Linked DNA regions of Neurospora crassa OR74A. The protein of the gene in region 7 interacts with the protein of the main gene of each other region in a pairwise test. Links are inferred from orthologs where the notes say so. Each region holds a gene or a part of one and is shown on either strand. Other genes may lie near its edges.

The links.
Region 1: the proteins of NCU03669 (region 7) and NCU00337 interact in binary tests that used the Saccharomyces cerevisiae proteins (3 or more experiments, as listed by UniProt). The link is inferred for Neurospora crassa OR74A from reciprocal best matches to the Saccharomyces cerevisiae genes SPB1 and NOC3.
Region 2: the proteins of NCU03669 (region 7) and NCU01301 interact in binary tests that used the Saccharomyces cerevisiae proteins (3 or more experiments, as listed by UniProt). The link is inferred for Neurospora crassa OR74A from reciprocal best matches to the Saccharomyces cerevisiae genes SPB1 and LOC1.
Region 3: the proteins of NCU03669 (region 7) and NCU00404 interact in binary tests that used the Saccharomyces cerevisiae proteins (3 or more experiments, as listed by UniProt). The link is inferred for Neurospora crassa OR74A from reciprocal best matches to the Saccharomyces cerevisiae genes SPB1 and RPF1.
Region 4: the proteins of NCU03669 (region 7) and NCU05233 interact in binary tests that used the Saccharomyces cerevisiae proteins (3 or more experiments, as listed by UniProt). The link is inferred for Neurospora crassa OR74A from reciprocal best matches to the Saccharomyces cerevisiae genes SPB1 and NOP53.
Region 5: the proteins of NCU03669 (region 7) and fkr-4 interact in binary tests that used the Saccharomyces cerevisiae proteins (3 or more experiments, as listed by UniProt). The link is inferred for Neurospora crassa OR74A from reciprocal best matches to the Saccharomyces cerevisiae genes SPB1 and FPR3.
Region 6: the proteins of NCU03669 (region 7) and NCU09131 interact in binary tests that used the Saccharomyces cerevisiae proteins (3 or more experiments, as listed by UniProt). The link is inferred for Neurospora crassa OR74A from reciprocal best matches to the Saccharomyces cerevisiae genes SPB1 and NOP12.

The regions. Positions count from the first base shown.
Region 1 is NC_026503.1:3,495,632-3,499,655, forward strand, and holds NCU00337 (nuclear export protein Noc3), read left to right. Parts: upstream 1-1,178; 5' UTR 1,179-1,343; coding exon 1,344-3,374; 3' UTR 3,375-3,504; downstream 3,505-4,024. Other genes in the region: NCU00336 (U3 small nucleolar RNA-associated protein 10), read right to left, coding at 1-612. UniProt on the Saccharomyces cerevisiae protein: Required for synthesis of 60S ribosomal subunits and the transport of pre-ribosomes from the nucleoplasm to the cytoplasm. Also required for initiation of DNA replication.
Region 2 is NC_026505.1:3,571,660-3,574,831, reverse strand, and holds NCU01301 (60S ribosomal subunit assembly/export protein loc-1), read right to left. Parts: upstream 1,766-3,172; 5' UTR 1,637-1,765; coding exon 1,328-1,636; intron 1,219-1,327; coding exon 898-1,218; 3' UTR 551-897; downstream 1-550. Other genes in the region: NCU01302 (hydrolase), read left to right, coding at 67-195, 250-393; NCU01300 (imidazoleglycerol-phosphate dehydratase), read left to right, coding at 2,205-2,481, 2,565-2,977. UniProt on the Saccharomyces cerevisiae protein: Required for efficient assembly and nuclear export of the 60S ribosomal subunit. Involved in asymmetric localization of ASH1 mRNA.
Region 3 is NC_026503.1:3,739,792-3,743,843, forward strand, and holds NCU00404 (RNA processing factor 1), read right to left. Parts: upstream 2,594-4,052; 5' UTR 2,456-2,593; coding exon 1,735-2,455; intron 1,663-1,734; coding exon 1,487-1,662; intron 1,407-1,486; coding exon 1,145-1,406; intron 1,075-1,144; coding exon 950-1,074; 3' UTR 580-949; downstream 1-579. Other genes in the region: NCU00405 (glycyl-tRNA synthetase 1), read left to right, coding at 3,260-4,052. UniProt on the Saccharomyces cerevisiae protein: Essential protein. Required for biogenesis of the 60S ribosomal subunit.
Region 4 is NC_026504.1:5,668,279-5,672,159, forward strand, and holds NCU05233 (60S ribosome subunit biogenesis protein NOP53), read left to right. Parts: upstream 1-1,528; 5' UTR 1,529-1,760; coding exon 1,761-1,912; intron 1,913-1,985; coding exon 1,986-3,192; 3' UTR 3,193-3,379; downstream 3,380-3,881. Other genes in the region: NCU05234 (GTP-binding protein ryh1), read right to left, coding at 1-123, 261-349, 434-459, 556-602; NCU05232 (AP-2 complex subunit beta), read right to left, coding at 3,702-3,881. UniProt on the Saccharomyces cerevisiae protein: Late-acting factor in the nuclear maturation of 60S ribosomal subunits, which is required for normal acquisition of export competence. Required for the export of the large subunit.
Region 5 is NC_026501.1:5,029,374-5,033,516, reverse strand, and holds fkr-4 (FK506-binding protein 4), read right to left. Parts: upstream 2,883-4,143; 5' UTR 2,624-2,882; coding exon 2,534-2,623; intron 2,438-2,533; coding exon 1,994-2,437; intron 1,924-1,993; coding exon 1,260-1,923; intron 1,201-1,259; coding exon 995-1,200; 3' UTR 355-994; downstream 1-354. Other genes in the region: NCU16390 (hypothetical protein), read right to left, coding at 3,454-3,634, 3,698-3,852. UniProt on the Saccharomyces cerevisiae protein: Proline isomerase that belongs to an abundant class of enzymes that catalyze the cis-trans isomerization of X-Pro peptide bonds and can accelerate the refolding of proline-containing polypeptides. Specifically binds nuclear localization sequences.
Region 6 is NC_026501.1:5,442,215-5,446,403, forward strand, and holds NCU09131 (nucleolar protein 12), read left to right. Parts: upstream 1-1,349; 5' UTR 1,350-1,651; coding exon 1,652-1,662; intron 1,663-1,725; coding exon 1,726-1,789; intron 1,790-1,850; coding exon 1,851-2,960; intron 2,961-3,029; coding exon 3,030-3,629; 3' UTR 3,630-4,085; downstream 4,086-4,189. Other genes in the region: NCU09130 (hypothetical protein), read right to left, coding at 1-747.
Region 7 is NC_026505.1:2,021,373-2,025,567, forward strand, and holds the start of NCU03669 (AdoMet-dependent rRNA methyltransferase spb1), read left to right. Parts: upstream 1-1,312; 5' UTR 1,313-1,455; coding exon 1,456-1,623; intron 1,624-1,690; coding exon 1,691-3,467; intron 3,468-3,534; coding exon 3,535-4,005; intron 4,006-4,084; coding exon 4,085-4,164; 3' UTR 4,165-4,195. Other genes in the region: NCU03668 (WD domain-containing protein), read right to left, coding at 1-262. UniProt on the Saccharomyces cerevisiae protein: Required for proper assembly of pre-ribosomal particles during the biogenesis of the 60S ribosomal subunit. Specifically methylates the guanosine in position 2922 of the 25S rRNA at the stage of 27S pre-rRNA maturation.

The DNA.
Region 1 (4,024 bases), on a different chromosome or scaffold from region 7:
GTACTTGCAAGAGTCAAGAGTGTACTGGGAGATGGCGGTAAGCAGCTCGGGGCGGTTCGTCGCTTGCTGAACAATGGCGGCGCGAGGGGGCGCGGTCAGAGAGCGGATGTAGGGGTCGAGGAAGCGGTACTCCTTGGGGATGTTGGCGGGCAGGATGGACAACAAGGTCACAAAGGCCGGGATGGTATGGTATGGGAGGAAGGTCGCGATGAGAGCAGCCGTGTTGAACTCATGAACGCGGAACCGGCGGATCAACCACTCGATGGCCTTGATGGTGGGCATGAGACGCAACCTGCTGCCGCACAGGTGGAGGAAGGCCTCGACATGCTTATCGAGGGCGGCATTCTCAGCGGCGCTCATCTGTGTCCTGTCGGCCTCCTGGCTTTGTGGGCTCCATAGCGACTGGGTGAACTTGGTGAAGCGCGAATCAAGGTTGCACAGCTCCTCAAAGCCTTCGAGGCATATCGAGTAGATCTCGGGGTATGTCTGGGTAGCGGCAACGCGGGGCTCGAAGATCAGGGACTTGGAGTGGGCGGCCTTGAGGACCTTGGTGTTGAGGGTCGACCGCGAGTTGGCAGCGATCTGGGCCAACTGGGAGGCCAAAGACGACATGGTTGGGTGTTGGTTTCTACGATTCGGCTTTATGGTTATCGTATGGTACTATCGTCAAGGAGAGTCGACGTCGATATTTCGATCGCGTCGCAAAGTGGGAATTCGATCGGCCTTTCGGCGCGTGGTGGGAGACGGGGAAGAGTGCAGTCTCGATTGTGTATCGTGGGGTAGAGACTGGGATTACGGGAGGTTGGATGTGTGTACAGTGGTCGAGAAAGAGATTAGGTGCCGCGGTCTCTCTTTGCTGCGACGAGGTTGATGTTTTCGGAGAGTGCCCCGTCGGTGGGTTCCTATTTGGATGGATGGAAGGAAAGGGAATTCAAACTTGGAGGAGGAGGTGCGGCCACTCGAAGCTCCAGCGCAAGCAACTGAACTCGACCGCAAAACTCAAAGTGCAGTCAATCGATGGCCGTTCATGGTTCAGCAACTTTTTTTTCCCCAAGCGGTGGGGTCCGATAAGAAAGCTAAACCAACCACATCCCGCCGATAAGACCCCCAGCTTTGGCAGCCAGGGTCCAAAAAGTTTGGAAAATGTTCCTGAGCGGTTCCTCATCTCAGTGAAGAACAAACAATCGATACCCATCCATCTCCACTCCAGAACACCGCTCGCTCCCGTCTCACTTCAGTCTGTCTTCAGCACACATCGATCAGCCGCCCACACTCAGTGTTTCAGGTTCACTTCACATCATCTCACAACCCTCCAACTGCACAGACCATCACCAGCCACCACCATGTCTTCCCATCCTTCCAAGCGGAGGAAGCTGACCGAGGGAGGCCAGTCCTCGGACGGCGCAGCAACCAGCGACGTCAAAATTCAAAAGCAGTTCTTCAAGAGTGCACAGAGCTGGAACCTCGAGGAGGACTATGAGAACCGCCCCAGGAAAGGAAAGAAGAAGAAGGAGAAGAAGGTCGCCGATGCCACGAAACTGCCCATCAGAGTTGCCGAGGGAACCTGGGTGACGCAGGAAGAGGAAGACGCCGAGATTGCGAGCGATGCCGAGTGGTTGGAGAGTGAAGGGGAGGAGGCCCCTGAGGAGGAGGAGGCTCAGCCCGAGCCAGAAGCACCCAAGATTCCCGAGCGTGAACAGATCAGGAGAGCCCAGGAGGAAATGGCCAAGATCGCAACGCAGCTCAATGAAGACCCAGAGGAGCATCCGGGTGCTTTCAAGGCGCTCGCCAAGATTGGAGAGTCGGACCTTCTCGCCATCAAGAAGCTCGCCATTGTTGTCCAGATGACCGTCTACAAGGATGTCATTCCCGGCTACAGGATAAGACCGGCTTCGGAGGATGTTGCCAAAGAGAAGCTGTCCAAGGATGTCAAGCGGCTACGCGTCTATGAACAGGCCATGGTGACCGGCTACTACCAATACATCAAGACCCTTGCTGCCCTCGCCGGTGGATCGATTCGCGACAAGTCCAAGCAGCCCATTTCCAGCATCGCCCTTACCTGCGCCTGCACCCTTTTGAACGCAGTACCGCACTTCAACTTCCGCGGTGAGCTTCTCAAGATTCTCATCAAGAAGCTGAGCTACAGAAATATCGATAAAGACTTTATCAAGTGCCGGACCGCTCTCGAGACCCTGTTTCACGAGGATGAGGATGGTCAACCCGCCATGGAGGCCATTTCAGTACTCACAAAGATGATGAAGGCTCGTAACTACCAGGTTGACGAGAGCATCCTGAACCTGTTCCTCCACCTGCGTTTGCTTAGCGAGTTTTCCGGAAAAGCTTCCAGAGACACGGTGGAGAAGCAGGACGATGGGTCGGTCAAGAAGCCGAAGCAGAAGAAGGAGTTCCGCACCAAGCGTGAGCGCAAGCTTCTTAAGGAGCAGAAGGAGGCTGAAAAGGTCATGGCCCACGCCGACGCAGCTGTGAGCTACGAGGAGCGAGAGCGGATGCAGTCCGAAACGCTCAAGATGGTTTTCGCCTCGTACTTCCGCATCCTCAAGATGCGTATTCCCAACCTCATGGGTGCCTGTCTTGAAGGTCTCGCCAGATACTCCCACCTGATTAACCAGGACTTTTTTGGTGATCTCCTTGAGGCCCTAAAAGACCTGATCCGCTACAGTGAAAAGGACGCCAACAAGGAGGACGAGTCGGACGACGAGAACAAGGAAGAGGAAGAGGATGAAGACGACGAGCACGAATTCGTTCGTGACACCAGCCGCGAAGCCCTCCTCTGCACCGTCACCGCCTTTGCTCTTCTCGAGGGCCAAGACGCCCATAACGCCCGCTCGGACCTTCACCTCGATCTCTCCTTCTTCATCACCCACCTCTTCCAGTCCCTCCTCTCTCTCTCCGTTAACCCGGATCTTGAACTCGGCGCCCAGTCGCTCCAGCTCCAAAACAGCGTGCGCCGCAACAACCGCATCAATTTGCAGACCACCACCGTCCTGCTCGTCAAGTGTCTCAGCGGCATCCTCTTGCCGCCCTGGAACATCCGCTCCGTGGCGCCGCTCCGTCTGGCCGCCTTCACGAAGCAGCTCATGTCCGGATCGCTCCAGGTGCCGGAGAAGTCAGCCCAGGCGCTTCTCGGCTTGCTCGCCGACGTGCTCCACACGCACGGCAGGAAGATCAGCTCGCTCTGGAATACGGAGGAGAGGAAGGGCGACGGCACTTATAAGCCACTTGCGGCGACAGTGGAGGGTAGCAACCCATTCGCGTCGACGGTGTGGGAGGGCGAGCTGTTGAGGAGACATTACTGCCCCAAGGTGAGGGAGAGTGTGAAGGAACTGGAGAAGAGCATCAAAAGTATCAAATAGCTGGTGAAAGGGTGATGTCGGAAGGGATTGTCTTGTTATGTCTACGAGACTCTAGGTGTAGGTTGTTGGAGAGTATACACGTTAGCTTTGGCATAGAATTATTATTGTTGAAACGATTCTGGATATCTACGAGTTTATGGCTGTGAAAGTGATTTCAATGGCGGCTGGCAGACACAAAGCCACCACCATACCAACGGGTACTTTTGTCGACCAAACCCATCATGATCACAGTGGAATGTGGTATTACTTCAGTTTCTTTGGAGATCTAAAAGCAGGCGGTCGCATTTGTTATGTGATAACACTTGGAGAATGAGCCTCCTCCACTGCACCTTCCCAAGACATTTCCAACTTTCAGTTGGCCATCAGCTGTTTTCCCTCCTCGACCTCCATTCAGCCGACCATCCTGACCTTTGCATCATTTTTCTTTTCTTTTCATCTTTTCTATTTTCTGCTCTAGCTCTGTCTCACCGAGTCGGGTCAGACTTGCCGAACCATGGCGGCTGTACATTAAACCGAGGCATGTCCGTAGCTTCCCCTCAGCCTCATGCGAGTTTAATTGGTGAGGTGAAAAATCTTTTGCTGTCTGATGACGATCGTCATATCGATTCATGGAGTGTCTTTCTCATTTCCCTTGTTGGTGTAAGCGTGCG
Region 2 (3,172 bases), about 1.6 Mb from region 7:
TCTTCTCCTTTTCCCTCAAGAGTGCAGTTTGAAACCCCCATGAGTATAGAGCTGACAAATTACTAGATCGCTGTTGAGGAGGCCATTCCCTACCAAGAGATCAAGCAGAACCCCTACACGGTACTTTGCCTCACGTCTCTCGGCGGACATCTTTCATGGTTCGAACTTGGTGGCGGACGATGGCATACTCGTCCTGTAAGTTTCTTTTTGCCTCACTTTCCGGTAACTTTTTGCTGATTTGTTGTCTAGATCTGCAACTTCCTGAACAAGATGGCTTTCGATATTGACTTGGACGCCATCAAGCCGGATGCTTGTGACAAGTTCGATAGCCAGTTCAGAACTCACTTCGACCCTGTGCAGCGAAAGTTGCAGATTCTCGATGTGGATCAATAGATGGTGGTGGAATGAACACTTGAAAAGAACGAAGACTGTACATAGATTAGCTATAGAGATGGGTCCATCGATTGGGCCTAAAGGGTCTAGACGCGCTTCAAGGCACATTGGGGCTGCACATAGACTTAGATTCGCGCTTTCGACTTGGATACAGGTTCGAACGTACGTTCATTGATGGCTTATGCGAGCCACGAACTACACCATCCTGACGGTTTCACCTAATAACATCTACCGACTCATGAGAAAAAGAGGCTGGACCAAGGCTGGCGTGCCCAATTGGTATCTTTAATTTCCACACACAAAATCAGTCAGAACTGTTCCCCCAGCCAAGCCATCCTACCCGCCGCCAGACTTTGATTGATATAAACGCCCAGACGCCATACATGCGAAGAAAAAATGCTTGGTGTAGGTATTACACGACAAACTTCCACCCTTCCTGTCTTCATTCTCCCAGCCCATTCCCAGGAGGGACCTTCAAAGCTCCCAGCATCCTTGCTTGATTATTTATTCGGGAGCAGCGAAGGATACCGACTTCTTCTTTTTCGACTTAACGGCTTTCGTGCCCGCAGACGAGAACTCCTTGACATCTCTGGAGTCATCGTCGTCGTCGCCCTTGCTACCGCCCGATTGCTTGCTGCGCTTACGCTTCTTGCGCAGCGAGTCCTTAGTCTCTTCGAGTCTGGCCTTGCGCTCAGCCTCCTTCTTCTCGGCTTCAGCGCGTCTCGCCTCGCGGATCTCCTCCATTTGTCGCGCCTTGATCATCTTGGACTCGATCTGGCCCTCCTTTTCTGCTTGTACGATGGCTAGGATAGTGGCCATGCTCTCCTGTACAAAGGGGGAAAACATGTCAGTTACTTGATGCTTTCCGGTCTTGAAACCTAGCAAGAAAACAAAAAACCAATATGACCCCAGACGCTAACGAAAGACAGCTTACCTTGTCATCCACAAACACCTTGCCCTTCTTCTTTCCCTTTGGCTTGGTCACACCAACGGGGGTGATCATGTTGAGTTCCGGAATCGCAAGCTCCTTTTCGCTGTAGGTCTTCTTCTTCTTCTTCCTGGCGATAAGCTCCTGGATGTTCGGTCGGCCCTTGCTGGCAGTCACGAGAGTGTGAGCTTTGCCCTTCGGCTTTCCCTTGGACTTGAGCACTCCATCGTTCCTCGACCTCTCCGCATCTTTGCTGCCCTTGATGCCGGATTTGTTCGCAGCGTGCTTGTTCTTTATCGTTTTTGTCGGCGCCATTGTGAGTTGTGGTTGATTCGTTGATAAGGTCGTAAGAAATCAACGATAGATGAAATGGTGGTTCGGGATATGGATGGGTGGATGGAGTACGAATACTCTCGAATGTATCCTGTACGCTGTCGCTTCAGTTCGGTCGACTTCTGGGGAAAATTTTGGGACCGGAATTGGTCCCTGCCTTATCTTATCGCGGTTAATCCAAGGTACCTCTAGAGCTTGTGCATATAGCACTGTATCAACGCCTGCTGAGCGCGGTTACGGGGCAGTGGGGTCTGTCAGCTCGCCGTGGGGCTGCCTTGAAATCTCTAATTGGCAGCTGGGGATCGGCAGGCGAGCAGGAAACTCTAGTTTCCTTCTAGTGTAAGCGCGGGGTTGGCAGCACTAGTGGAGGTACCTATTCCATATCGATTGCCTATCGGTGCGTTCCCTCACTGGTGGCACTCCGAAATCGCCAAAATTTCCAAGATCACCTTTATTGTCGCCATCCTTACATCGCAATTGATCACACTGCCGTGGTGATATCCCAAGAGTCTACAGTCCCCAGAAGTCTCAGACGCCCTATTCAGACAAAATGAGCACCGAACAGCCCGCGCCCCGCTGGGCCGCCTTTGCACGCGACACCAACGAGACCAAGATCCAGATCGCACTCAACCTTGATGGCGGCGCATTCCCTCCCGAGACCGACGCCCGCTTGAACGTCAGTATCGCCGACGGCCATGCCACTCAGGCTAGCAAATCGCAAACTATCAGCGTCAATACCGGCATTGGTTTCCTTGACCACATGCTCCATGCGCTTGCCAAGCATGCCGGCTGGAGTCTTGCGCTTGCTTGCAAGGGCGACCTTCACAGTTAGTAGACACACTTGGCTTGGGCGCAGAAGTCCTCGTGGAACAACATCCAGAACTCTGAATTGACTTTGTCCCTCTCATAGTCGACGACCACCATACCGCCGAAGACGTCTGCATCGCTCTTGGTTACGCCTTTGCCAAGGCTCTCGGCACACCCACCGGCCTCGCGCGCTTCGGATCCGCATACTGCCCTCTCGACGAGGCCCTCAGCCGTGCCGTCGTCGATCTGTCGAACCGTCCCTTTGCCGTTGTCGACCTCGGTCTTAAGCGCGAGAAGATTGGCGATCTCAGCACCGAGATGATCCCCCACTGTATCCATAGCTTTGCCGGGGCTGCCCGCATTACCGTGCACGTCGACTGCCTCCGCGGCGACAACGACCACCACAGAGCTGAGAGCGCATTCAAGGCGCTTGCGGTTGCCACGAGGCAGGCTACTAGCCGGGTGGCGGGTCGCGAGGGTGAAGTTCCTAGCACCAAGGGAACGCTCAGCGTATAAGGAAGTGGGAAGGGAGTTAGTTATAGGTTTGGATATAGAAGTGCAATGATACCATGTGATGTCGTTTACCGTGGTACTTTGCGCGCATGTTCGGCTGCCATCATTTCGCTATAGCGACGGCGTAGAGTTGAAGTGAAGAATGGAAAACCAGATACATGTTGCGAATTGGCGAATGTATACCTAGGGAATTTACCC
Region 3 (4,052 bases), on a different chromosome or scaffold from region 7:
ATACTGATTGTTCATCTTTCCCTGCTCTCCTCTCCCAACAGTTCCTTACGAACAACCGAACCAACCCAGGTCTTCACAATTCAGTCCATTTCTCCACCCCATCCTTCCAATTAACCCAGCTCTCCTTCGCAACCTTCCACTTCCTCACCACCTACCTGACCGTCTTCCTCCTCTCGCGACCTCCCCTCTCGCTCTTTGTCCTCGCTCCATCTCTCCCCGAGACACTCCCCTCAGCGTGGCCATGTCCCTCGATGTGATCCTTCCTCATTGGCTAATAGCTTTTAATTCTGTAACCTTCTACCAAATCGCTTGGATCTTGCTCACGCCAATCGTGGCGTGACGAATCACGTTCTCTACCACTCCGTCTTACCCGAGAGAGCCATGTTGGCTTTGGTCCCAGCTTGTCGTGTGCGGGGTGTGGATAGTCAGTCATTATGATATCCTATCTTTTACCTCTTTCAACCAAAACCGTACCTGGTTCAGCAACAGATCAAACCCAAAAGCAAGTCGAAATCATAACCCTCTAGGGCATCCTCTTCTCACTTCTCGGCATCCTCGGCTCGTCCCTCTACACCATCTGGATCGCCCACTATCACCGCAACTCGGCGGCATCTCCAGCTTCTCTTGCCGATGATACTGAGCAGAATGGCTGAGATTTCGTTGCTGGGTTAGATATCCAGTGGCTATGCTCAAGGAGGAAGCCAAGAAGGCTGGTCATAAATCGTAGAAAGGGAGAGGAAACCGGCGGTACATGCACAGAAAATAGGTAGTCTTGAAGTACAGTCATAGTGACCTGATGTTGATGAATCATGCCTTCCTCCCAAACCCTTTTGTGAACCGATAACGCCACATACACACTTTGAACAAGACAAATACTCTCCAGTGCCAACAGAGACGATGGCATACTGAAAGAAGGGTATCACCAATACTACTATCATGATCAGCCCCCTTAGAGGTTGAAGCGCGTGCGAACCTTCTCCATCTTGGCCTTCCACTCCCACTTCAAAGCATCCTCTCCTTCGCTGCCAGCCCGACCGATACCCTTATCCACTCTACGAAGCTTGAGAGTGAATCCTATCAAAACAAGTCAGCCACTTTCGGTTCATTCGCCAAAACTTTTGTTTTCCGCGGTAGCAAGACTTACTGGGTCCAATCTCCTGCAAACCAGCACGGATACCCTGCATACCCTCCATCTCCTTGCCCTCCGCAGTAACCACGTTCTTCTCCGTCGTGCGGGCCTCGCGGAAGACGTAGCGGTGGCGGCGAAAGAAGATGTAATCACGCTGGTTGTGCAATGTCACGACCTGGCGACCCGAAAGCTCGGGCCTGGGAGGGAACATGGTGTGCATGGATTTAGCGGCGAGGATACCGAGAGGGGTCTTGAATCCATTGAGGAGAAGCTCGGGCTGTATTTTTTTTTTGGTTGCAATGCTTAGTCTCAATGTCCTGTAATTAATGGACTTGGGGATTAGGATGGACGGCTTACGTAGTGGTTTGTAGGGTTACCGTGGCCAAGGAGAGCCTTTCCAGGCAGGTAGTTCCGGATGGTGTATGTCAACGAAGGACCAGGGGCAACATCTTCGCCGTTGAGATGGATGACGGTCAGGGAGCTAGGCTTCTTGAGATCTTCGCCGACAATCATGAGAATCGTGTATCCACGGTCTGTAACAATTCAGGCCTGTGTTAGCAATTTTCTCTTGGGCAACAAAACTCCAACCTGGGTGCGCTACTCACTCTTGGCAAACTTTGCGATCTCGCGAACACTATACTTGTGTCCATACGCGTGCGCACTGCGTCTGATGTACGTGCTGTTGGGAAAGATGGCAGCAATGTCCTCCGCCTCCTTGTGAATGGTGCCGTTCAAATGGGTGGTGACCAGAATCTTGGGGTCGACTGGGGGTTCCTCGTTGAAGAGATTGGGAAATTGTCGTGTGAGCGAGTCGGGAGTCATGTCTAGATTTGTCGACGTGGTCGAGGGAGCGATGCTGGGTTTCCTCTGCGCACGCTCCTGTCTGAGTCTCTCGATGCGCTCCTCGGCATCTTCGTCGTCGTCGTCACCCTCCTCGTCCGAGTCCAACATAGAATCGGCATCGTCGTCCTTCTCCTCATCCTCCTCCGTGACTCCATCGGCTAGCCTGGCGGCCTCGGCCTCCTCCTTCTCCAAGCGCCTCCTCTTGAGCTCGGCAACATCCACAGCGACGCCCAGGCTGTCGTCGTCAACGTCATCCCACACGCGTTTCCTCTCAATGGTCAAGGGTTGGTTGTTTGCGAGGCGCTCTTCTCTGAGTTTGGGATCCTTGGCCTCCTCCTTCCTCCGGCGGTGACGCTCCTCATGGCGTTCCTTTCCCTGCTCCTTCTTTTGCTTGACGTATAATTGCTTTCTGACAATCTTGTTGGAGGTCTTGAGCGACAGCGATCCGCCGGAGCGGTTTTTGCCCTTGTTACCGGACGGCATATCGGCTACGATGTGGTAACACGGCGGTGGGATTAGTGGTTGTCGCGGTGTCAAAATTGTAGGGTAGGATCAATTCTCCAGGTCACAGTTCAAACTTCGACGTGATGCTGGGCAGTTGTTGCTACCTCTACCTGACGGATGAATTGAACGGGCCCGGTAAACTTTCAACTTTTTTTCTGGGCCCAGAGCCATCAAGGGCGCCAAGACGTGCATCTACAAGGGTACCCCAACAGCTAACGCACGGCCTCAGCCGGGGACAGGTACGTACCGCTACCCCTCAGTGTACACTACTACCTGACTGTCACCTGCACAGGATGACTCCATCCCGTCCCTTGCTGTAAGTTGGGACGGAAGCAGAATTTTTGGGATGAAGAACGGCGGCATCACGGACTCTTGATAATCAAATATCAATACCTCTAGCCGATGAAAAGTCACAATAACGCTAGCCAGCGGAATGCGCTTTCTGTAAGGGAGTTACTTAGGTAGGTAGAGGTAGTGTACAGTAGCATGTGCAGTTCCACTTCCTGATATGGCTGGTGGATTCCAGCGAGTCGAGCCTTCTGTCGCGTACCGCGCCGCCACTGACGGCGGCTCGAGAGCGGGAATCTGGACCGCTGTCCCTTGGCTTAGGTTGTCTGGGTCGTTGGTGCCGGCCCCTCCATGGCGCCCCTCTACCCCCCCAAAGAAAAAAATCATCCCGCGATTCGGTTGAAGTACGTGTTTCAATTGAAAAGGCCTCGACGAAACCTCAGTGGGCGACCGTGACTCACTTGGTTCCCTTGAGCACTGTAACAAGACCAATTCATGCGACCTCTTGCCCGTCTCGCCTCCCTCCGTTCTCCTGTTGCTGGTCAAGCATTCAAATCGACCTTATCCACCCGAGCCGTCGCCAGTCGAACTTCTTGGACCCCGGCGCCCATCCCGCGGATCTCTTCGACTTCGCTCCGATCCTTCTCCCTCTCTACCTCGCACCATCGCTTCCAAGTCTACGTCAAAAAACAAAACACCAAGATGACCTCGACGGCCACCACCCTCAAGGGCCAGCCCCTCGACAAGGGCGCTCTCGAGTCCATGCTGCGCCGCCGCATGTTCTTTGCGCCCTCCTTCGATATCTACGGCGGTGTTGCTGGCCTCTACGACTATGGCCCGCCCGGTTGTGCCCTCCAGGCCAACATCATCGACATCTGGCGCAAGCACTTTGTCCTCGAGGAGGACATGCTCGAGGTTGACTGCACCGCCCTGACCCCCCACGATGTTCTCAAGACCTCCGGCCACGTCGACAAGTTCGCCGACTGGATGTGCAAGGACCCCAAGAACGGCGACATTCTGCGCGCCGACCACTTCGTCGAGGACGTTCTCGAGGCCCGCCTCAAGGGCGACAAGGAGGCTCGCGGCCAGAAGGTAGAGGACAAGGAGGAGGACCCTAAGCGCAAGAAGAAGAAGGCCAAGGGTACCGAGGCTGTCAAGCTCGAGGACGCCGTCGTCAAGGAGTACGAGGAGATCCTCGCCCAGATCGACAACTACAACGGCGAGCAGCTCGGCGAGCTCATCAAGAAGTACGACTTGAAGAACCCCGCCACCGGTGTCCAGCCTGAGC
Region 4 (3,881 bases), on a different chromosome or scaffold from region 7:
GTCATAAACTACCACGGCTACTGACGAGTCGCGGATGTACGAAGGGATCAAAGAGCGGAAACGCTCCTGGCCGGCTGTGTCCCAGAGCTGTAGGCGGACTGTTCGGTCTTCGAGGTACATGGTCTTTTTCCCCCCCGTAAAGTTAGCCAAAGGCTCTCATCTTGTTCTACTAGTTCTTGGGTCTTTGCAACTGTCGCGCATTGTCTGTCTGGGAAGGAAGGGCGGTAAAGAATTGAATGGGAGACGGGGGTCGAACATGCCTTGGAAAGGAAATCGATACCAATGGTGGCTTGGTACATGTTATCGAACGAGTCGTACATGAAGCGTGTGATGAGCGACGTCTTGCCGACTGTTTGCGCGCAATCGTTGAGTTAGCATTGGTGTCTCGGAGAACATCGTGGAGAAAGTGTTGTAGGTTGAGGTAATCGCATACCGCTTTGTTCGCCCAAGAAGACCAACCTGGCGAGGAGAAAGAGTGGTTAGCATCTTGTCTTGTTTTGTCTTCCATTTGACTTAAGTGCATTGTCTGCAAAAGTGTCGGGTATGTTGTCTTACTTGAATTTCTTCAAGGGGTTGTTGTATGACCCGCCTGCTTGCGCCATTGTGATGGATGTGTTTGCGGATTAACGGTATTTGGCGGGGTAGGTAGGTAGGTAGGTAGGTAGGTAGCTGAAGGTATTCGGAAACACGATCAAGGGGAGGAAGCTTTCGGACTTTGGAGGAGGTGGTGGTGGTTAAGTGGCAGAAAGCTTAGTAGTGTAGGCGGTCGGAGTTGGTCTAGAGTTAGATAGGTGTCTGCTGGTCGTCGAAGTGGAAGATGGACGGCGGCGGAGAGTTGCCGGAGACTGATCATGCAGCGTTGAGTGGTCTCAGTGGTGCGACGGACGGGGCGTGGTGGCCGGGGGGTGGATGACAAGGGAGCTTGGAGGACAATCGGGTCGGTGTTTGGGATCCAGTCGGGGTCTCGTTGCCGACTTGGTTGCTGGGGTCTTTGCAGTCCGTCGAGTCTTCGTTTACCAAACAAAAATCGGGTCGAGAGATCGTTTTATAAGAGTTGATACCACAGAGAGCAGAAAATACTTGAACATTTAATATTTTGTTTGGATACAGATTAATTGATTGACCGACATTCCGTATGTACGTATGTACAAGTTTACATGTTTTTATCCATTGTTTATGCATAACCTCAAGTTCGAACAACAAAGTGTTTCTTGCGACTATTATTCAGTCTTCTTCCCCGAAGCGGACTCATGCGAGAGAAAGGGGACCGCGCCAAGCGATCAGTGGAGGGAAACAGTGGCCGCCCGCCGCCTTTCTGCGCCCAGACAAATTCGACACTTCACTTGACCAAAACGACCGAGACCGGGCATCCAATGGAAGCTTGGCGGCCGTCATTGGATTTGTCCAGAGGCCGAGGCAGCTTGGAAGTCTGATTGGCTAATTGCTCCAACTGCCAGCTGAGCACGGCTGGGGAAGGGAACTGAAGCGCTGGACGCTTGTGTTCCATGAAGTTGCTCTTCCCTGTCCTGTCTCGGGCAGGTCTTTCTTATCTTATCGCTGCCTCCTGTCGCCGCTGAAATTTTGAGTTGCACACCCCACTGGGCAGTCGGATTGATTGCAGAGGAGACCCCAGAATTCCAGGCGGTTTCGAGGTATCAATATTTCCAATTTCTTATCTGCCTCGAACCTCCGCCGACTCGTTTGATTTCTTCGAGTCGTCAACCCAACAACACAACACACCATCACATCACATATCCAAAATGCCCGTCCTAAAACCCTTGTCGGGCAATCCCGAAGCCCCCAAGCAATACAACCAACCGTCGAGAAAGGGCAAGAAGGCGTGGAGGAAGAATGTCGACGTGACAGAGGTCGAGCAGGGTCTCGATGAGTTGAACGCCCAGATTATCAAGGGGTACGGCGCTCCTTCTGTGATGCTTTGTATTACCAAAGACACCAATTGGTTAACATGAATTATCGTATAACAGTGGTGTCATTGCCGAGAAGACCTCCGAAGAACTCTTCGCCATCGACGTCAAGCCCGACACCGAAATCACCAAGAAGCTCCCCAAGCAACTCAAGAAGCCCTTGAAGGCCGACGAGATCCTCGCCCAGCGCTCCGCCGTTCCCGCCGTCTCCCTCAAGAAGCGCCCGGCTTCTGAAACCTCCGGCAAGGTCACCGACGGCGTCCTGCCCTCCAAGCGCCTGCGGGCCACCTACGTCACCCAAAAGGAGCTCAGTCGCCTGAAGCGCGTTGCCGACGGCCACCACACCACCACGGTTGAGGTCGTTGACGCCACCTTTGACGCCTGGGCCGACCCAGAGGAAGAGCAGAAAAAGAAGCAGCAGGCCGCGGAAACGTTCAACTTTTTGCCCAAGGTCGAGAAGCCCAAGGCGCCCAAGACGCTCACACAACAACCCATCTCCCTCGCCGCCACCGGCAAGCAGCTCCCCGCCGTTCCCAAGCCCAAGGGCGACAAGTCGTACAACCCCGCCTTCACCGACTACTCGGAGCGCTACCAGGAGGAGCTGCGCAAGGCCGAGGAGGCCGAACGGAAGCGGCTGGAGGAACTCGAGAAGGAGCGTCTCAAGGCCGAAGCGGCCGCCAAGTCGCGCGCCGAGGCCGAGGCCGCCGAGAAGCGCGCCGAGCTGTCGGAATGGGAGGATGATTCCGCCTGGGAAGGGGCCGAGAGCGACGCGGAAGGGTTGGCCAACAAGAAGAAGCGGCCGGAGCGCAAGACGCAAGCCCAGCGCAACAAGATCAAGCGCCGCAAGGCCGAGGAGCAGCGTCTGAAGCACGAGGCGGCCATCAAGAAGAGGGAGGCCGAGGCCGCGCGGGTCAAGCAGATTGCCAAGGAACTGGCCGAGAAGGAGAGGCAGCTTGCTCTCCAAAAAGCCGAATCCAACAATGTCGAAGAGGACGATGCTAGCCTTGAAGAAGATGACGACGTCGAGCTGCGCCGTAGGCAACTAGGCAAGTTCAAGTTGCCCGAGAAGGATCTGGAGCTGGTCTTGCCGGATGAGCTGCAGGATTCGCTGAGGTTGCTCAAGCCGGAGGGTAACTTGTTGAAAGACAGGTACAGGAATATGTTGCTTAGAGGCAAGGTGGAGGCGAGGAGGCACATTCCCTTCAAAAAGCAGGCCAAGACAAAGGTCACGGAGAAGTGGACTTTCAAGGATTTCAATCTGGCTTGAAGCGGCTCGGCTGGGTTTAAGTTTTGGGGCTTTACGGACATATACATATTCGGATTTGTTTGGTAATTGTTTTTCCTTCTACAAAATATTCCCTTTTGGTTTTTGTTAGTAGTACGTTTGTCATGTGTATATTGGCGTTTACGGTTTTCTCACTTGGTCTTCAGTGCAATAAAAGGTTGGAACATTCAAAGTGGTCCTATGCTCGCGTTTTTGTCTTTCAAGTCTTGTAGTGAGATGACATTACATGAATGTCTTCACACTCGCCCATTAACACACCAGAACATACGTAGTGACGGGATATTACTTGTTATTCGCATTATCTACAACCAAAAACCCTAACTGGATATCTTTTCCCACCACCCTACCAAATCACACACTCACCACGCTTCCCCAACTCCTAGTCTGTCTATTACATTACTACCTTGTCTCTCCTCTCTTCCCACTCTTACCCCTTCCCATCCCATCCCCCCTTTCCATTCGGAGCTAGGCACCCCTCACACCACACTCCCTCACAACAACAAATCCCCCTGAGCCCCATTCATCCCTCCCATGCCATTCATCCCCCCCATCCCCGGCTGGTACGCCGAGCTCTGACTGACCACGTACCCCTGTCCATACCCATAATGTCCCGCATCCCCACCAAAACTGTCGCCGGGCTGCTGTATCTGCATCTGCCTCATCTGCTGCGC
Region 5 (4,143 bases), on a different chromosome or scaffold from region 7:
ACTGACCGTTATGAGTGAGGGCTTTTAAAGCCAGACCAAGCCTTGACCTCTGCCAGTGAGATCTCGATGGGCGATGGGCACCTTGACTGGGTGAAGAAGAAGCGAGAGACGACCTAGGCGAGCAGTCGTCAGGCTTAGTGGGACGATAAACCGGGATGGCGGTACCCAAATGACTTGATGTTTGGGAAGAGCTCCTCTTCATGTCTCAAGCTCGGTCCTGTCCATTGAATGGTAGAAACCGCTGCGGCGTCTAAGTTGGTCGATCGTAACGCACAATGCCTAGTTTGGCGGCAGTCGGGAGTCGCGGCGGCTATGATGATAGTGAAAGATACAATGACGATACCTATTGAGAGATGGAAGCAGAGCGGGGAGGTGGGAAGACGTGGATGGACTTTGTCAGTGTGTTGAAATACGACAAGGTGCAGTGAGAGAGGACGACTCGGAGTAAGGTAGCTCCATACCTATGCATCACCTGAACTACCTACCCATTAGATGTGCCTCCCTTGCCCCAGGTCAACAACACTGACCTCTTGAGGCACAGACAGGGCAGGTACGACTTCAATTCTGAAGAAAGCCAGTGTTTGTAGCCAACTGTCACGCTTTCCTGGAAGTTATTACCGTCCGTCAATCAAAGACACTTTCCTCGACATCTCGAAACATCCAAGTTTGCCAAGTCCGAGTCGAGTGTAGGTAACGTAGAAATGTTGCGCCTTTGCAATTGATAGACGCAATATAGAATAGATCGTGCCCCATGAACGATGTACAACCCAAAGTACAGAAAGAAATCCAGACCCAATACTTTTGACATTATGCTGTTGAAATGACATTCCCACTTCCTTGACCAAACCCAACATGAGCGCAAGGAAATATGTGCTGACCAAAGAAATCCCAAGACTTGCTAGCCATAGAACACGAAAGGTTGTGGATGACAACCGCCATAGAAATCGCGACGCTAGCCAAAGCCTTCCTACCCCACGCTTCGAAACGTCACAATCTACTTGATCTCAAGGAGCTTGACGTCGAAGATCAAAGTGCTGTTGGGGGGGATGCCGGGAAGGGCACGGCTGCCGTAGGCAAGGTGCGCGGGGATGGTGAGACGACGCTCACCACCGACAGCCATGCCAGCAACACCGATGTCCCAACCCTTGATCACCTCACCCTTGCCGAGCTTGAAAGAGAACGGGGCACCCTTCTTGTTGGCTGTATTGAATATTAGTCTCTAGTCAATACTGTGAGAGTGATGGAAAAGTGAGACTTACAGTCGAAGACCTTGCCGTTCTGGAGCTTTCCGATGTAGCGCATGCCAACACGGTCACCGTTCTTGGCGGCACGGCCGGTGCCAACCTTCCTGTCATCAATGGTGACGCCCTGGACAACCTTGACGGTAGAGGTAGGCTTCTTGTTCTCAAGCTTGTCCTTGGCAGGGCCAGTAGGGCCCTGCTCGAGGTTCTTGGCGAACTGGACCTTCTTGTCGGACTTGGTCTCCTTCTTAGGCTCCTCCTTCTTGGCCTCCTCAACCTTCTGCTTCTTCTGTTGCTTCTTGCTGAGCTTCTTGTCGTCCTTGGAGATCATGGCATCGAGACCCTCGGCATCGTCCTCGGCGGGGCGCTTCTTGCCCTTCTTGCTGGTGTCGACAAGCTTGGGAGCCTCCTCCTCCTCGTCTTCCGAGGTGATCTCCTTGACACGGGGGGTGCCATCGAGCTCGTCGAGCTCGTCGCTCATATCGTCGGAATCGTCATCCTCGCCACCAAGGGGAAAGTCGTAATCCTCGTCGTCGGACTCATCCTCATCATCCTCGCTGTCCTCCTCGTCATCCTCGGGAACAACGAAGTTACCGGTGAGATAGACAGAGTGGGTACCCTGGACACAGAAGAAGACCTTCTCACCCTCGCCGATGGTGATGTTGATGGGCTGCTGGTAGTTCTGTATATGGGGAATCAGGTTAGCTCCAAGAACTCAAAAATACGTTCACCGAATGGATGGGGCTTCTTACGCGCTCAGTGTCAAGGGTGCAGACAACGTAGTCCTCAAGCTGGAGGTCATCATCGCCGCAGCAGTCGCTCTCCTCGTCGCTCTCCTCCTCGTCGGACTCGCTGGCCTTGCCCTTGCCCTTGCCCTTCTTGCCGTTGGGCTTGGCATCCTCCATCTCCTCATCAGACTCCTCCTGGGTAGCAGCCATAAGCTTCTTGATGGCAGCCTCCTGCTTGGCCTTCTTGGACTTGGAAGGGTCGCTGGGACCACCGTTGGCCTCGTCGTCAGAGTCGCCGCCGCCGAGGAGGGACTGGAGGTACTCATCCTCCTCCTCATCATCGTCGTCATGGTCGTGGCCAGTGGCCTTGATGATCTTCAGGGTCGAGCGGGGGAGCGCGGGAATGTTGCCTTGGCCGTCAGCCTCAGGAGCCTTGGTGGGATCGAGGGCGGCCATGGTGATGTGAATCTGGAATTCATGTCGTTAGCTCCGTGTAACCCAGTCCAGTGGAGCGCCATTGCCTGCGAAGGAGAGGGCCAAAGGCTCCGAAAAGTGTGCACTTACGATAGCAGGGAACTCAGAGGCGGCGGGAATGAGGATCTCGCCAGGAGGAACCTCCAAGCCAAAAACGGCGACAGGCATAAGGGGGGCCATTGTGAAGATTGGGTGGTGCTTTGCGCCGGGGTATCAAAAAGTCTAGATTTTAAAGAAAACTAAAGAGACAGGAACTCGAAGTCGTCGTCGGAAGTATACACTTCTAAGATTGAAAGAAGATGAATGGGCTGGGTAGAAAAAGTCTGAAGATGGATGCGACCAGTTTGACTTGGGAAAGGCAGAAAATGCGATCGAGGACGAGGGCGGTCGACAGGAAAAGTTCAGGCGAACTGCACTTGGAATCCAGAAAAATTTCGGCACCCCACCGTCTGTACTGTCTGTTACTGTAGCGATAAGACTTCCTTATCGGTTCACTGCCACTCTCCCGCTCCCCAAGCCAAGCTAGCAAGGGTATGTCGGTCAATGCAGGCCGGTCTGCTAACAAAAGCGGGGAAGAGTTCGACAAGCTCCGCGCTAACGTCGTGCGCGGACGCTTGATGTGCCTAGAGCTGGCATGGGAACCTTGCGACGACGGGATGTTCAAACTGCAACTCGTCATCACCGACTCGAGGTTTGAAGGTGGTCGCCGCGGGACTGCAATCTTTTGCCATCTGCAGGATTCATTGGTGCCAGAGCAAAGTGCATCAGGTGGGAGGTATAAGAATGAACACCATGCACCACAGGTACATGTCTGGAGTCTCCCGGCGATGCCATCCCACATCACATCGGTCCCCCAGGCTCACGGTTCACTCCACCTGAGTGAGAGGATTCACCAACGAAAGCATTTCTGAGGGATTCAAAGCAAGATTAGGTAAGCCCCTGGCTGAACCTTCAGGCACACCTTGATAACCCAGCATGCCACAGTCATCCCATCATCAACGCAATCGTCTCTAGATCTTGTCTCGATTTTCATATCTCTGCGGCCTCTCATCCACCTTAACGAGCTTCAATCCCGACTTAGCCACTGGGCCCGGGAAGTGACGGCTCTGCCTCGCGTAAGCCGCAACGAGATCATTGCCGTTGGTTACGCCTCCTATAGTATTCATCGAATGTCGGCCCAGTCTTCTGGGCCTAGTCAGGAAGGGATGAAAACAAACCACTAGAATAAGCCAAAGATTCCCATCCCCCACCCACCTCAACTTCTCCGCCACCCGAATAACGTCCTGGTCCTCGAATCTCGTCCGCAGATCTCCTTGCAACTCTCGCGGTCCACAGGCTTGCTTGCTTTTGAGTATCCCGGCCGCACCGCAGAGGTAGATGGCTGAGTAGACGCTTAGGATGTCTGTCATTTTCGTCTGGTTGTTACTGGTGTTGTTCGCATGCCCTGCCAGCCACGACAGAGCGGCTGGGCCCTCTTAGAGGTCAAGCTAAGGATTCCGGTCCCGGAATCAAGACGATGTCAAGCTTTCCTGGTGCCACTTCAAAGCGGATGTCTATGGAGGCTATCAGAGGGATTGGGTGATAAATAGTTGGACTCTGCTGATGTTTTTTGTGTCGTTTTGGGGGGGGGGGGGGGGGGGGGGGGGGGGGTAGTCAGCTATCATTATCACTTCCTCTAGCGGTAGGTTTGTTGACCGCGG
Region 6 (4,189 bases), on a different chromosome or scaffold from region 7:
GTCATCGGCTGAGAGCTTTTCGGGAAAGGTATTTGACTCAGTCCGCCTTTTGAACGGTTGGCTGAGATCTTGTTGCTCGGTGACTGAGGAGCGTTTCCGCTTTAGGATATCATGTCGGGGTGATAGTGTGAGGATCTTTTCAGGCGAGGCGGAAACTATTTGTACTTTCTTCGCCAGCACGGGAGATCGCGCAGGTGGTAGTTTGGCAGCAAATTCAGGCTCTTCGTCACTCAGGTCTTCCGAGGCCTCTTCGTCACCCACTTCTGCTTCTTCTGAGGGAGTGTTTCGCCCGCTGGCAGTGTTTTCCGGTTCGTAATCAGATTTGATTTGCTGCTGAAGCTTGCTAGGGCTGCGCTCGAACGTCCGATCGCGGCGGTCGGTGAATTGTCGAGTGCCAGGCTCACCCGCGGTGTCTACGATGTCGCGCGATACTCGATCTTTCGGTGGTGTGTCGTAGAGCCTCTCTGTCTCTGCCTCGGAGTCATTAATATCCACGTCCGACAGCTTGCTCTCGTCGTCAGTCTCAGCGCCAAGGTCCGAGTCGACGCCATCGCGATTGTCAGTTCGGACCGATGTCTCGCGATGTTGAGAGTGGTTACTGTTCATGTCCAAATCCATGTCGTCAGGATCTCCATGCTTGTCTTCCACGTCACTAAGTGGGCTTGACACATCGCTAGGGCTGTGTTGGAGCAGAGGCGGAGGGGGGCTCGAGAGAGCCAAGGACAGCGCGGTGTCACCGGTAGCCATCGCGGATCATAGAATCCGACGAGATTGAAACTAAGCAACGACGCGCCAATGTTGGGTTGAGCAGCTGAGCAGTGGAAAGTTGGACGGCCACGTAGAATTTAGTCGTGGACGGCGGACTGGACGTCCGAACTGTACGGGCAGCTCAAGAGCAGCACCTGAAGTTGTGGCGCCACGATCAGGGTAAAGTGTGTTTATGCCGGAAGGTTAAAATGTGTGCTCGCACACAATGAAATGTCTCGGAGATATGGCTTTGTTGTCGGTACGAGGGCGCGATTGTCAAGAGATAACGTGCGGTCTGGGTAGGTAAAGTAGTAGGAAGACAGATCGGGAGAGTGAGGAGCGGGCAGTAGGTATCTGGTTGACGACCTAGACTGGGAGCTGGACAAGCGCCCACAGCACCGCACCAGCACGCAACACAAATGGGCAACCGGCAGGTTTCTGGGGGGCTCCATTGCCTGCCCGCTTGCCTGCCGCCGCCGCCCGTCTCCAACAGCCCAGCGCACCACACAAAGGCGATGGCAGGCGGTGAGTCTTGGCAGCTTTGATAACAACTGATAAGCGAGTTTTTTTTTTTAATGGGAGGATGCAAGATGTTCCACGGTCCTCGACTCGTCCTTACGATGCGCAGTGGGGAAGGTAGAAACGACGACCCTTTGAAACCCTGGACCATTGAACCTGCCTGCATAGAAACTGGTCTTGCCTTGTACAACATCCTGCTAGAAATCAGAAGTGGAAGCTTTGCAATTCGATTTTGACAGCATTTACAGCCAATCACATCTTTCGCCTCGTCGTCGAACTTCAGTTGTTTTTCCGTGCTCTTAGAACTAAGTCAATCACAAGTGCTTGATTGGCGAATCGTGCCACTTTCCCATCCATTGCGCTTACACACGACGGAAAACTCACAATGGGTAAAACGTGCGAACAGCCCTACGCTACAGTCAACGCCATTCTTCCAGTATTCTGACACCACTATTATAGTAAAGGACTCGTTGCGCCGGTGAAGAAGGTTGATCCTAGCTTGGATGCTTTGTTTGCTACCAGTGTAAGTCATCTCGCTCTGACCAGACAGGCAATTGGAAGTTTACATGGCTAATCTTGTGTAGGTTGGTCCAGCGAAGCCCCGCCCAGCTGCAAAATACTCCGAGCCCCTACCGACAAAGTCCAAGAAGGCGCCAGTACCTTCCAAGAAAGAGGAAGACGTTCAGGACGAGGGCGATGACGAGGAACTGAGCGAGCTTGACGAAGAATACGATTCCGAGGTCGGCATTGGAGAGGATGACGAAGACGACGAGGCTGAAGACAACAGTGACAGCGAAGACGAAGCCGTCGCGACCCTCGAAGTTGTTGTAGAACAAGGAAAGGTCCCGGAAGAAGATGGACCGAAACGGAAGCGGAAGCAACCCGACCAGCACGACAATCTCGAACACAAATACCTGTCCAAGTTGGCGGAGGACGATGAAGAGCCGGCTGGCAAGCGTCTCAAGGCCGACGAGCAATCCGGAGAAAAGAAGGATACCGCCAAGGCCGAGAAGAAGGACGACGACGACAGCGAGTCTGCGGATGAGGTCCCCGTTCACGAATCGCTAGCGCCCGATGCTGCCCAGAACGAGATTGAGAAGGCCAACCGCACCGTCTTCCTCAGCAATGTCGCCGTCGAGGCCGTCACCTCTCGTTCGGCCAAAAAGGCCTTGATGAAGCATATGGCTTCAGTGTTGGACAAGGAGGCGAAACCTGCGCAAAAGGTTGAGTCGATACGGTTCCGCTCGACTGCCTTCGCTACCGCTGCCATTCCCAAGCGTGCCGCTTATATCAAGAAGTCCGTGATGGAGGCCACTACGAAGTCGACAAACGCCTATGTTGTCTACAGTACCCCTGCGGCCGCTCGTCTTGCCTGCTCGAAACTCAACGGCACAATCGTGTTGGATCGCCACATCCGTGTCGACAGCGTTGCCCATCCTGCCCCGGTAGACCACAAGCGCTGCGTCTTCGTCGGTAACCTTGGTTTTGTGGATGACGAGACAGTACTGCAAGTGAAGGTAGACGAAGACGGTAAGGAGGTGACCGAGAAGAAGAAGCGGACAAAGCAGCCTATGGACGTTGAGGAAGGTCTCTGGCGGGTATTCGGTAAAGAGGGCGGCAAAGTTGAGAGCGTTCGTGTGGTCCGCGACCCTGTCACCCGTGTCGGCAAGGGCTTCGCCTACGTTCAGTTCTGCGTGAGTTATCACTTCTCTCTGTCTCTTACTTGCCCGTTATCAACTAACAACTCTGTTCCCCCTCCGTAGGATGAAAACGCCGTCGAGTCAGCCATCCTCCTCAACGGCAAGAAATTCCCGCCCATGCTCCCCCGCGAGCTACGCGTCAGCCGCTGCAAGGCCCCTCACAAGACCCTGCGTGCCATCGAAGCCAAGAAGCTCAAGGCGCAGGGTGCCGTTCCGGAAACTATGAAGAAAGGCAACAACGGGAAGAAGGGTCCTGGCTCCAAGAAATCCGACTACGCCCCCAAGATCTCCGCCGAAGCCAAGACCATCGCCGGCCGCGCTGAGAAGCTCCTCGGCAAGTTCACTGCCAGACAGGTCATCGGCTCCGACAAGAAGAAGACTTTCAACAAGCAGGACAGATACCAGGCCAACCAAAGGAGGAATCACGCCTCGGGCGCCAACACGGAGGCGACCGGTCCCAGAGTCCCGGGCGCCTACAAGTCCCCCGAGAGTTTCATTCTCGAGGGTAAGCGTGCTAGTGCGGCAGACGGAAAACCTAAGGATCTCAAGTTCAAGGGCGCCAAGAAGAACAAGGCGCCGAATGCGGGTGGTGGTAAGAAGAAGACTGGTCGTGCTGCTGCGAGGGCTTCGAAGTGGAAGGTTCAAGGGAAGGGGAAGAAATAAGTGCTAGGCCATTTGCCTGATGTTTAGGGTTGTTTGCTGGTATAGAGCCAACGGGCAGCAGCCGGCGTGGTGCGGGTGCGCGCGTTTCATCCGGCGCGGCCCGTGGATTTTCAAGCTTCAAGAAAAGGGGCAGAATTCGAAAGTGAACAGAAGCCTTCGATTCATGACGCGCGCATGTATGGATAGGATAGGATAGGCTGTAATGCAGTCATCGCATATGAAGGTATCTCAACGGACTGTCCCCAACCGCGTGATACTTCGCAATGACGGGAATGTGGAGGAAGAGCCTTGGCGCCCAGAACTAGGTACATATGTAGTTGTCTGAAATTGCAGTATAACCGTGGAACGACTGTTAAGCCTGGCTCCGTGGTTCTTGCGACAGGGAATCGCAAACAATACAAAAATTAACAACACGGCCACATTGAAAGAAAATAAAAAAGAAACAACGTGTAAAGCCTTCAAGTGCACCATACCAACTTTCTACATGATGTCTCGTGGAATTGTGGGTGAGCTGTGTAGGGTAAATAGGCAAGTCCCGCGCTATTGAATATTCCAGGGCA
Region 7 (4,195 bases):
ATGGAGTATGAGATCGTTCTATGAGAGGACCGGCTAGATCACGAAGAGCTCTTTGGGAAGCGCTGGGGTGGTTATTCGCTATGACTCGGGGAGTAAAGAAGCGCCTGAATTTCCGGGGGGTGATGGACGGGTTTCGACGTTCCTTGGCTGCGCTTCGCGGAGGAGGAGAGGACGGAATGGGGGGAATGTTGTTGCTGGTGTTCAACGACGACGAGCTCTTAACTCCCAAAGGGGTTGAAGTGCTGTTGGAGTTATCGGCCATGGCGAAAGGATTCTCTTCGACTACCAGAGCGAAGAGCTGGGTCCAGGCCGCTTATGCAACACGATACCTAGAGACGATGTACACGGGGCCGGCGACGCTGGATGCGCGCGACCTGGCAGCGAGGGGCCGCCGATGGCAAGGGTACGCGGAGACAGAGAACAGGCTGTGGTGATGGATATTTGTACAGAATCAGTTGAGCAACAGCTGGCGCAGAGGTATTGCTGGCAAGTGTCGACTGGATATTGGACAAGGGCTGACGTCGAAGTTGCAGGCTAGGCTGTGTGCAGCAAGCAGGCTGAGCTTGAAGAAGGACGGGAGGTCGAGGTCGTCGTTGAGAGACAAGGTAGGCGGCCGGGGGGGGCGTAAGGTATTGGCGCCGAGTTTATTGGTTGGCGGATTTGGTCGTAGTAGTATGGGTCCTCTGAGTGAAGTGGTGCGGCCGGAAGGGGTATGTCTATGTCGGTTTCTGGTGTAAGTGTGTCCTTGGTAGTATGGACTTGAAATTGAATGCGTAGGTGGAGATGTGATGGAATTGGATTTGGTTGTTCGTTTCTGTTGTGGATTTCCCTTGCGTGGTTCAGTTCCTAGAAGTACCTACGCTTTTGCTGAGTTCCCACTTGAGTACCTAGGTTTGCCGGGCAACCAAATCGACAGCCATGGAAACCTGACCTGACCTGGCCTGACCACCCATGGACTCCATTGAACACCTCCTCCAGTGGGCAGAGGCTGGGCGTGCGGTCCGTAGCGGCCGGGGGTCGGGGGGGAGGCGCCTAGAAGGAATGCGGTTTAGTGCTCCATCAGGGGAACGCGAAGACGCGGGAACAAATGACGCGCTGCATCGCGAAAGCTTAATGGCTTTTTCGTCCCATAAATCGCGGTTGCTGAAGACATGAAGATTGGTCAATGCACTGCACTTCAACCGCGGGATGTCTGGCCCACCCTGATGGGGCCCGTCTTGCTCGTTGCCCCACCAGCCGCCGGAGTCCAGTCTCTTATCGCTTATCGCCCTGCAGCTGTCATCCAAAAAAATCATTCTGCAACGACGACCCTGCAATCCCTGCGCTGCGAGTGCTGGAGGGAAGAACAGTCAAAGGGCACCCGGACTGCCATTTTCACCAACCCAAAAAAGTCACCAGGTCGTCCTGCTCAACAACACCAGTCGGAAACACCCCCCGACTTAGAGCACCGGCACCATGGCGATCCAAAAGAAACACGGCAAGGGCCGTCTTGACAAGTGGTACAAGCTTGCCAAGGAGAAGGGTTATCGTGCCCGTGCCGCCTTCAAGCTGATCCAGCTCAACAAGAAGTATGGATTCCTCGAGAAAAGCAAGGTCGCTCTCGATCTTTGCGCTGCGCCCGGTGTAAGTCATAGTCGTGAACATCCAGTTTATCATGGAGTGAACTAACCATGTCTGTGTCCGTCCCTAGTCGTGGTGTCAAGTCTGCGCCGAGACTATGCCGACAAACTCCATCATCATCGGTGTCGATCTTGCTCCCATCAAGCCCATCCCCAAGGTCATTACCTTCCAGAGCGATATCACCACCGAAAAGTGTCGCGCAACCATCCGCTCCCATCTCAAGACATGGAAGGCCGACGTCGTTCTTCACGATGGTGCGCCCAACGTCGGTACTGCTTGGGTCCAGGATTCGTACAACCAGGCCGAACTTGCCCTGCACTCGCTAAAGCTGGCCACCGAGTTCCTTATTGAGGGCGGTACGTTCGTCACCAAGGTGTTCAGATCCAAGGACTACAACTCCCTTCTCTGGGTTTGCAACCAGCTTTTCGCCAAGGTCGAGGCTACGAAGCCCCCTTCGTCCCGTAACGTCTCCGCCGAAATCTTCGTCGTCTGCCGCGGCTTCAAGGCCCCCAAGCGCATTGACCCCAAGCTTCTCGACCCCCGCTCCGTTTTCGAGGATGTGGCCGGCCCCGCCCCCAACAACGAAGCCAAGGTGTACAACCCCGAAGTCAAGAAGAGAAAGAGAGAGGGTTATGAGGAGGGAGACTACACCCAGTTCAAGGAGATCTCTGCCAGCGAGTTCATCAACACTGTCGATCCCATCGCCATTCTCGGCCAGTACAACAAACTCAGCTTTGAGCAACCCAAGAACGGCGATGTAGCATTGGCTGCCCTCGACAAGCTCCCCGAAACGACCGAAGAAATCCGTCTCTGCTGCGCCGATCTCAAAGTGCTCGGCAGGAAAGAGTTCAAGCTTCTCTTAAAATGGCGTCTAAAAGTACGGGAGATCTTCGGCTTCCCCTCCAAGAAGACCCAGAAGGCAGCTGTGGACGAGGAGGTTGCGGTAGTGGAGAACATGGATGAGGAGCTTAGGATCCAGGAGGAGCTGCAAAGGATCAAGGAGAAGGAGACCTCCAAGAAGAAGCGCGAGAGGAGGCGCGAGAATGAGAAGAAGCAAAAGGAGATTGTCCGCATGCAGATGAACATGACTGCGCCCATGGATATTGGTGTGGAGCAGGAAGGTCCCCGTGGTGAGGGTGCCATGTTCCGTCTCAAGACTATCGACCAGAACGCTGCCCTGAATAAGATCGCCAAGGGCAAGATGGCCGTTATCAAAGAGACCGAGAAACCGAAGGATTACGACTTTGGCTCCGACGGCGAAACCGACGAGAGCGACGAGGAGGCCGATCGTCTGGAGGAAGAGCTCGACAACCTGTACGATCAGTACCGGGAGCGGAAGGCGGCGGCCGATGCCAAGTACCGTGCCAAGAAGGCCAGGAAAGAGAACGGCGACGATGAATGGGAAGGCGTATCTGGCGATGAGGAGAAGGGTAGCGACGACGATGACGATGAGGAACTAGAAGTGGACAGCAGTGATGATGATTCCGACTCAGAGGATGGTGAATCTGGCAAGAAACTTATAACAGATCTAGACGGCCAGCCAGAAGAGAAGGATGGTCTGTCCAAGCGGGCCAAGAACTTCTTCAGTCAAGGTATCTTTGCGGAGATACCAGGACTTTTGGAGGAGCCAGAATCTGAGGAGGAGGAGGCTCAGGAGGCTGAGCTTGTTGAGGCTGTGGAGGACCTCAAGGTTACCAAGAAGGAGAAGAAGGAAGCCAAGGAAACCAAGGCCAAGAGCAAGAAGGCGGCCGAGGAGAGCGATGACGACGACGATTTCGAGGTTGTCAAGAACAACGAGGATGACGACTGGGAGAACGTTGAGAAGAAGAAGAAGAACGGCAGGCCTGGTAAGTTTCACTCAGTCCCTCTTCAGTATGACCTGTTAAGGGCAATGGCTGACTATGACAACTACAGACATCGACATCATCACCGCCGAGGCCATGACCCTCGCCCACCAGCTCGCGACCGGCGAGAAGACAAGTTACGACGTCATCGACGACGGTTACACCAAGCACGCCTTCAAGGACCGCGACGGTCTTCCCGACTGGTTCCTTGACGACGAGTCCAAGCACGACAAGCCGCACAAGCCCATCACCAAGGCCGCAGCGCAGGCCATTAAGGAGAAGCTCCGGGCCTACAACGCCCGTCCTATCAAGAAGGTGGCCGAGGCCAAGGCCAGGAAGAAGTTCAAGCAGGCCCAGAGGCTGGAGAAGCTCAAGAAGAAGGCCGATATGCTTGCCGGTGACGATGGCATGTCAGAAAAGGAAAAGGCTGCTAGCATTTCGAAGCTCATGGCGTCGGTTGCTAAGAAGACGAGGAGGGCGCCTATCAAGGTTGTCAAGGCTGCTGGTTCCAACAAGGGTCTCCAGGGCAGACCTAAAGGAGGTTCGTACTATCACTACCTTAAGATCTGGTGTGTTCTTTATGTTGGAATGATGCTAACTCGGTTTTTTCAATTTTATAGTCAAGGGCAGGTACAAGATGGTGGATCCTCGTATGAAGAAGGAGTTGAGGGCGATGAAGAGGATTTCCAAGAAGAAATAGACGTCGTGTCCAGCAGCAGTATAGTTGGTGG